Nothobranchius furzeri: one gene and its partner. The protein of the gene in region 2 interacts with the protein of the main gene of each other region in a pairwise test. Links are inferred from orthologs where the notes say so. Each region holds a gene or a part of one and is shown on either strand. Other genes may lie near its edges. The genes, in order: polr3glb and polr3c.

Evidence for each region.
Region 1: the proteins of polr3c (region 2) and polr3glb interact in binary tests that used the Homo sapiens proteins (3 or more experiments, as listed by UniProt). The link is inferred for Nothobranchius furzeri from reciprocal best matches to the Homo sapiens genes POLR3C and POLR3GL.

The regions. Positions count from the first base shown.
Region 1 is NC_091745.1:58,816,229-58,820,715, reverse strand, and holds the start of polr3glb (DNA-directed RNA polymerase III subunit RPC7-like), read right to left. Parts: upstream 2,870-4,487; 5' UTR 2,680-2,869; coding exon 2,572-2,679; intron 2,433-2,571; coding exon 2,303-2,432; intron 2,220-2,302; coding exon 2,151-2,219; intron 2,067-2,150; coding exon 2,001-2,066; intron 1,928-2,000; coding exon 1,842-1,927; intron 1,701-1,841; coding exon 1,587-1,700; intron 1-1,586. UniProt on the Homo sapiens protein: DNA-dependent RNA polymerase catalyzes the transcription of DNA into RNA using the four ribonucleoside triphosphates as substrates. Specific peripheric component of RNA polymerase III which synthesizes small RNAs, such as 5S rRNA and tRNAs.
Region 2 is NC_091745.1:77,810,763-77,815,060, reverse strand, and holds the start of polr3c (DNA-directed RNA polymerase III subunit RPC3), read left to right. Parts: upstream 1-1,205; 5' UTR 1,206-1,333; intron 1,334-2,722; coding exon 2,723-2,869; intron 2,870-3,043; coding exon 3,044-3,308; intron 3,309-3,418; coding exon 3,419-3,711; intron 3,712-3,808; coding exon 3,809-3,913; intron 3,914-4,298. Other genes in the region: rnf115a (E3 ubiquitin-protein ligase RNF115), read right to left, coding at 402-479. UniProt on the Homo sapiens protein: DNA-dependent RNA polymerase catalyzes the transcription of DNA into RNA using the four ribonucleoside triphosphates as substrates.

The DNA of each region.
Region 1 (4,487 bases), about 19 Mb from region 2:
CAGTTAGAGACCAGTACTCACAGTGAGACCAGTTACTTTTTAAACCTGCTACCCAGCTATGTCCCCGCCCTGTTCAGCCAGAACGGGTCAGAATTCTGTACCCAATAGACCCTTTTACTACCTACGTCATCAAAAGTTGCGAGCGCAGCCTGGCAACGAGAGTGAAGGCTTCCTCATTCACACTCGATACTAAAGCAGTGTTTTAAACCCTTTGTTTTGAAGTTCTGAGCACATAAAATGTCGGGTTGTTGCGTGTATGGATGCCAGAATCGCTTCTCTCCAAGTAGTGGACTGAAACTTTACAGAATTCCGAAGGGAGCACATCCATTTCAACAAAATCGGAGGTGTCTGTGGCTGCAGGCCATCAAAAGGGTTGATGAAAACTGGACTGAAAACACGATCCGAAATGCTCGAGTTTGTAGCGCCCATTTTATATCAGGTAAGGTAATTATGTACTAAGATTACACCAGAAAGCTGGTTAACGTGTGTTCTATTAAATAAAGTAAGTTGCGCTTGCTGGTTTGCTTTTAAGCAGTCTATTTATTTTTTAATTAACATTTCATTCTAATTCATCTGTATTTTCCCACTGCATATTAGTATAAACTGTATTTCTCTAAAATTAACACGATTGTACTCTGAGCACGCTAAAAAAAAAGAAACCTAAGCTATACTCACCCTGCCATGCAGGTACAGTTGGCTGTGAAGACGTAGTTCTCTCGTTTGTTTACTATGACCCAAGCCTCGTACATAGCAGTCTTGTGTCCTTGTCTTTGGCTAGGAAGGACTTCTGCCTTCAAGACGCAAAACTCAGAGTCTATGTCGTGATATTTTACTTTCTGTACGTGGCCACAGACAACATAGTTGTATGCATCTAACGATTTGTATGCCCGTAGCTTCTCACGTGTGTACTTACTGGGCCTCTCCACTAAAAACGTATATATATCGGGCCACTGGATATCTGGCCACGCACCTACATCTTCCACCCATTCCGTAATGCCACAGGGATCCGGGAGTCTGTTGCCATTCGTTAAAGTGAGTTTAATAATATAACATTCAAGATTTGCCGGTGATAACCCCGCAGCGTAGCTTGATAAAGCCTGACACAACGCCATTCTCTGTTGCCAAGCTGCGCGAGCATTCTCGCTGACGTCATATTGTTTACAAACAGTAAAAGGGTCTATAAACGCTCCTCTTTGGTATGTTCTTGCTGTGTTGCTTTTCTAACTGCATTGTTGGTTCTTCTTGAAAACACGGAAAAGGTTTATTTTTACCTTGCTGCCAGCAAACCGGTTAAAGTTACCCTCGCGGTCTATCACTGGCAAATCAAAAGTGAGACGGATGACACAACCGCCCCCGTACTTGCTTGTTACCACATTCCAGAGAGAGAGAGAGAGAGAGAGAGAGAGAGAGAGAGAGAGAGAGAGAGAGAGAGAGAGCGAGAGAGAGAGAGAGAGAGAGAGAGAGAGAGAGAGAGAGAGAGAGAGGATTTTGACAGCACTTTTTTCTGACTATTCCAACTGACGGATTTCCGTCACCCCGACGGAGAACTTTAATCCCTGCCACACCCACACCGGGTGTCACCTCACCTCTTCAAACTCTTCCTCATCGTAATCCTCCTCAGCCTCAGCACCCTCATCCTGCTTCTTCTCCATCTCTCCTTCCCCCTCAGAGCTCTCCTGCTCCTCCTTCTTCTCCAGCGTCTGCAAGTATGACACACACAGGTCACGTCATCGGTATGGTAGGACAGCAGGTGGCTGAGACACCTGCTCCACAGGTGAGTCTGACAGATCTGGAATACGTTATTTTACCTGTGACCTGTTTCCCAGACCAGTCCAACTCACCTCCAGCTTCAGAAGGATCTCCTCTCTGACCTTCTTCTTCTTCTTCTGTATCTGCTGACCGCTGTCCCGGCAGCTGAGCAGCGCACCTTAACAAAAACACATTTTACCAGCAGCTAACACAACCTGGCTCAAATTACTGAGAGTAATCAGATTACTGACCATCACCGGGTGCTTTCCTGACGTGGACTCGCAGTTCTCTGGGGAATCTCTTCCAATCTGAAACGACTAATCAGCATTACTCCTGATCAACACATCACATTGGGTTCTCTTGGTTACTGTGGTTACAGATATTAGCATTCATGGTCTCACCTACAACCCAGTCCTTCAGCCTGTCAGTCTGTTCACTGATGTGATATTTATCTGAGTATCGCTCCACATCTGACAGGAAGTGCAGAGGAGAACTTCACAATAAGAGAGCAGTTACATCTGATAAGCAGTTAAGTGGTGATTGTTGGTCTCACCTCTTTGTGCCACTGCTGGTTGGATAAAGCATGGAAGACTCCTCATGGCTCCCCTGCAGTCCTGTTTCAGAGCCAACAAATACTCTGCCTCTTCTCCACCTGTTAGAGGCAGGGGCTTCTGCTCCATCACCTGGAAAACATTAAACTGCAAATCCCAGAATGCACTTGATGCCAAAAAAAATAAATACACAATGTCTGCTCAAAATAAAGCCACACGTGACCTAAACTCCAGGTGTGACTGGGTTCAGGTGTAGTGGGGTGGAGCTTACTGGAAACACAGGTGTAGGCTGGTGAATAGTTGGAGGAAGAGATTCTCTGATGCCGACTGCATCCACACTGAAACTCATCATCCTGTGGCCACGCCCACGACCTGCCATCTCTATTGCCTCTCTAAAGCAGACCAGAACCAGAACATGAACGGACCCTCTGTGGCGGATGTGGGTAGGGATTTTTATGACCTGTAGTGGTGGTGAGTGGTCATAGGCTGGCCCTCGCTTGTGAGAGGAGGGACCCTTTGGTCTTGACCCGGTTAACGCTGGGCCACAGTTGTCTGCGGGGTGGGTTGTTTTTTATTAGGGGAGCACCCGGATGGTAACTGTGACTGTGGAGAGTTGGAGAGTGTGAGATATGTTCTTCAGCATTGCTGGCGATATGCAGGAGAGAGTGGTCCTCTCTTGGGGGCCCTTGGTGTGTCTGTTTTCAGTTTGAGGACTTTGTTGGTGATGACGGACTGTCGTAGGGGTGTAAGGGCAGACTGTGAGTGGGAATAGGTGCTGACCCATCAGCATCTAGCCTGCCAGATCCAATGAAGAAGACCCTCTGCAGCCCGGTCAGACGTGGTGCTGAATCTGGATTCTGACAGAACAAGAAGGCTGAATGTTAGCAGAGATGTGGAGACAAGTGACCAAATGTGATGAAGGTTGTGGAGCATCATGGAGAGGATGCACGTCTGAGATCGAAGAGATGTTAGCTGATGTGTGACAGGAAGTCTGGAGCAGGAGGAGGATGCTAAACTGAAACCTACTAAAGAAAGTCCTTGTCCAGACTTCCGTCCGTTGGATTCTCTTCCTACTTGAAGCCAGCGTCTTTCATTCCGGACCACCAATAGTTCTGGTAGAGCTTGGTGTCCAGCTTGTTCCTGTTGTCTGGGTCAACATGGCCCCCTATCGGAGAAAACCAAAGATTCATAACAGCTTTTCTATATAATTGATCCTTTAACCTCTCCAGAATCCCCAGGTCCAATAATACCATACAAACAGAACCAATACAGAACGCCAGGGTTCTGGTCATTGGGCTGGTCCTGAACTAGACTGGACCTTCAATAGGTTCTGCTCCAGATTATCTCACCCGGCTGAGAATACACGCCCCCACGCAGTTCATCAAAACGACGAGTAGCTCTCGGTGACCCGGTTGGCTTTGTCTGACACGGTCCAGCGACGGCTCTTCCGGGATCGTTCCGTTTTAGGGGTCACTAAGCGTCGTCTCGCCTCTAAAGCGACAATTCATCTCGTTAGAACCTGAGGAACATTCACGTCTCCACGGTTCCGTCTTGTTTTGGACCAGACCGAACTGTCTGTTTACATCCGGCTTCGCGCCGTCTAAGTTCTTCTTCTTCTTTTGGTGTTTTATTGGTGGTTGGCAAACAATGAATGGTGCATTACCGCCACCAACTAGTGTGGAGTGTGGTCTGGAACAGCGCTCACATAACCAAACCAAACAGGGGGTTAAGACTCAAAGTCTCCCAAACACCCTTATCTCTTTCAAAAACCGAAATAAAATCTGATAACAGTCACTTTTTGAATTCTGTCTCAATAAATCAACAAGATCCAGTTTCACTTTCATCTGACTAAGAGTGTGAACTTAGTGACAGTGTAATATAACATGATCTATAGTTTCGTCTTCTCCACAATAATCACATTTCCCTGTATTATGTTTCCCTATCATGAATAATGTATTGTTTAACCCAGTATGTCCAAACCTTAGTCTAGCAATGATCACCTCCTCTCTCCTACTCTTTCCAGTGTTTCTCATTAGGCCCGAGCAGCGAAAGCGCTGCGAAGGCCTCTTGTTTTTGCTCTGATTATTATTAGGCCCGAGCAGCGAAAGCGCTGCGAAGGCCTCTTGTTTTTGCTCTGATTATTATTATTTTTTGTTATTCCGTGCCCCCTTTGAACAGCTTTTTGGG
Region 2 (4,298 bases):
GTCTCTCAGCTGAGTTTTAAATATGTCGTCTTGGCTTTAATGGTCCAGACAATCCGTGTTCAGGTCTTGTTCGGTGGAAAATACGCTCACAACACATTCACAGTGGGAAACCTGAAGCTTCGGGCCCTGAGTTTTGACACAATTACGCGTAGACACACGAATAGAACAAAACTTGACAGTGTCAAGTTTATAACCCAGCGTTTACCTCAAGTAAAAACAAATTAGGCACCGTTTAATTCAGAGAGTTAACAGCAACAACCGTTGCTAGCTGTTAACAAGCTAGCGGCGGTTTAGCTGTAGCAGACAGGCGAAACTAACTGCTATTGGTCGAGCAGCGGTGTTGTCAGTCGCGCACGATGTGGAATATATCACACATGACTAACCAAAAACACCGGACTTACCGGGAGTTTAGGATTTACTTCTCCCTTACAACAGTGACAGAAAAACCGATGCGGGGGAACAGGCGCGGCCTCCGCCATCTTCCCCAAGCAGCACAACTAGTGACGTTGGTCCTTTACAACCAAAAGACACTTTATGGCAAGCCGGTTCATCATATAATAAGTGATAATTCTGATATTTATCATATGCATTTTCATATCCTCCAAAATGATTATAAGTTGTTTTAAAACGTTTAATAATAAAAACGTCTTTATGATAGCAGTAAATCATATGAAAATTTAAAATATTTCAGAGTTACCACGGTATTCAAGACCTTGAAATCTGCACATTGTTCTCTAGTGGGAATTCCAGTTTTGAGAAACAAATTATTATTCTAACAAAAGTTGTTCGACAGCAAAGTACGTTTAGATTTTTTAAACCGGAAACTAAATTTCTATGGGAATTTGTTTGTCCTAACATTTGGGAAAGGTATTTGAGATTCTTGAAATGTTGATTTTGAATAGGTGAAATATACCTTTTGAAATACATGGAAGGAACTGCAGATGTTTACTGATGAATACTGACTTCACCCAGTGTGATTGTGTACCTCTTACTTTTTGTCTAACTTATTAACACGTCGAGCGCTTGAAATTTCAGTTGTTTATTCTGATAACTAAAAATGCAATTCATGAACAAATTTTTTTTTATTTAAATTCCAAATGAAAAAAATGGGATGTGGTTAATTATATGCTACAACAACTTGCCTGAACCAAACGATCTCCAGCTCGACAGGGGGCGCTGCACTGCAGCCAAATCCTGGAGGGAAGACCCAGAGAGCGGAAGTGTCTTTTTTACCGGAAGTGTCTGTGTGTTGTGATGGAAGAGACGCATGTGTAAAAAGTCGATGCATGAAGGCAACAGCTACGTTTGCTCCGAAACCCATCTGCAATAAAAGGTTCGTGAAAAAAATAAGTTACGTGTATTTATTTTTCCTAATTCTTTACTTTCAGGTGAGCTAGCCGCTAGTAGCTTGTAAGCTAATCCACTTAATACAACTTTAGCTTCACTGGTGTGGACATTAATCAGAGACGCTTAAAACATAATTAACATTTAATATTAGATGAAGTTTACATGTTGTCTTTTGTTTTATGGTGCTTTAGTGTTTTTTTAACCGAAACATCACAGTTTAAAGATGCTAGTGATTGATTTGTGATGCTTTAAGTGTACTAGTGTTTTAGTGTCCTGTCAAAAAAGTAAATATAATTTATAAAATACAATAAAATGACTTTATTCTTGCAATAGGTTAATTTCTGTTAAGATGTTGATAATAAATCATACTAATTTACCTATTTAAGCCAACCACATACACAATATTCAGTACTTTCCTCACAACTTGGTACAGTCATTTTGTCATTTAATTAGTTTGTTTATTTTGATCAACTGTTGGTTCATATTACACTGATTATTTTGTTTTCAATCTGTTTCATGAAAAGCATCTTTTATAAAATGTTCTGCTAATCTGGTGCTGCTTCCGTGGGTTTTATTATCGTGATATAGGTGATGTCATCTAATTTACTGTTTTGCTTCATCTACAATAAAATACAGGAATTCTTCTACAAAACCTGTAACATAAATAAAACCAGTTTACTTCCATCCATCCATTTTCATCCGCTTATCTGGAGTCGGGTGGCTGGGGCTGTAGCCTAAGTCGAGAGGTCCAAACTTCCCTCTCCCCAGCCACTTGGGCCAGCTCCTCCGGGGGAATCCCAAGGCGTTCCCTGGCCAGGTGAGAGACATAGTCCCTCCACCGTGTCCTGGGTCTACCTTTAGGCCTCCTCCCAGTTGGACGTGCCCGGGAAACCTCACCAGGGAGGCGTCCAGGAGGCATCCTGACCAGATGCCCAAGCCACCTCAACTGGCTCCTCTCGATGTGGAGGAACAGCGGGTCTACTCCGAGCCCCTCCCGGATGACCGAGCTTCTCACCCTATCTCTAAGGGAGAGCCCAGCCACTCTTTGGAGAAAACTCATTTCGGCCGCTTGTATCCGTGATCTCGTTCTTTCGGTCACTACCCAAAGCTCATGACCATAGGTGAGGGTAGGAACGTAGATCGACCGGTAAATCGAGAACTTCGCCTTCCGACTCAGCTCTCTCTTCACCACGACAGACCGGTACAACGCCCGCATCACTGCAGACGCAGCACCAATCTGCCTATCGATCTCACGCTCCAGCTTTCCCTCACTCGTGAACAAGACCCCGAGATACTTAAATTCCTCCACTTGGGGCAGGACCTCATCCCTGACCCGTTTACTTGTGGATCTTATTTATATTGTATGTTTTTGCAGATGACAGCCCAGGAGGTACGACTGTGTGGTCTTCTGATGCGAGAGCATTTCGGGGAGGTGGTGGAGAAAGTGGGAACACACCTGCTCAGAAGTGGTGGCCAACATTTACGAGCCATTGTTCATGAAACTGGAGTCTCAGCGGACCTGGTACAAATGACAAGCTTCTTTCTGCTGGTTAATACTGAGAATATATTTGCTTAGCAGCTAATTGTTGGTGGTGATGTATTTTAGATAAGTAGAGTTGATTTATTGGACAGTTTTACACTATAAATGATTTTTAATCACACAGTACAGATGCTGCTTTTGCCTTTGTTTTTAAAGGTAAAGAAGTCTTTATGCGTGCTTATGCATCACGGAGCGTGTTCGTTCATCTCTGGTCGAAAGGGACCCGGCAGCCCCCCAGAGTATCAGGCAAGCTGCGATTGCATTCTGAGGATTCTGCGATACCCACGTTACATCTACACCTCTAAAACCTTGTACGGTGACACCGGAGAGCTGATCGTTGAGGAGCTGCTTCAGAGGGGTCACATGACGATGAGCGGCACGGTCAAGACAGTCGCTGACCGCCTCAGTCAGAACATGGAGGGTCAGCGTCTGATTTTAAAAAGACAAAAATCTGGATTTGATTTTGAATGTTTTTCAGGTTTCAGTAGGATTTATATTACGTGACATCAAGTGTCTATGTTGTTCTTACAGATGGGCAGAGCGTTGATTACAGCGAAGTGTCGTCTGTCTTTTCTAAACTGGTGGAGACGCATTTCCTGCAGCGCTGCCCTCCGTTGGACGGAGCAGGAATGACAGCCAGCAGCACTCAAGCCGGCCCCAATCCCACTGCAGCCGCCTCCAGCTCCACCCTGCCCAACCCAGAGAGCTTCTCCGAGTGCTATAAGGTGCCTCATGTGACCCTCGTCGGGCGGGGAAAGCGCCAGCTCGCCACCGAGGAGGGAGAAGAGCAAAGGAGCGCAAAAAGAGCCAAAATGGAGCCAGAAGTCGGGAACAACTCTCTTTTTTCACCTATTTATTCATTCCAACATTTCTCTGTTTCTGCTTTTATCATCATCACACACGGTTGGTGTTTTTGTGCAGACTCATGGTGACGAGGGGATCTACTGGCAGGTGAACTTTACGCGGTTTCATCAGCACTTCAGAGACCAGGTGATCATCAGTGCCGTGGCCAGTAAACTGGATCAGGTCAGGCTTCCTCTTCAGGACTAAAAATACGAGTGAATAAAAAAAAAAAAAGAGTTGAACGTGCCTACAAAACGCTTATTCATTCTCCTGGATGACTAAAATGTTTTATGTTGTTTCTGTGTGTTTAGAGAGAACTGTCAGTCATCAAAACTGGATAAAAAAAATCAATAATCAACAGTAAACGGGCTCCAGCCCTAAAAAACAATATTTTTATGAATGAAACCAAATCTCACTAATACATGCATTAGTGAGATTAATTATAGTTGTAGCTGTATTTATGTTCTCTTGGTCACTATTGTGTTTCAGGTGTTTGATGAAGCACTTTTTAAAGCTTTTGCATTTAAAAGGTCGTCGTCTTCCTCCGCTTATCCGGGTCCGGGTCGCG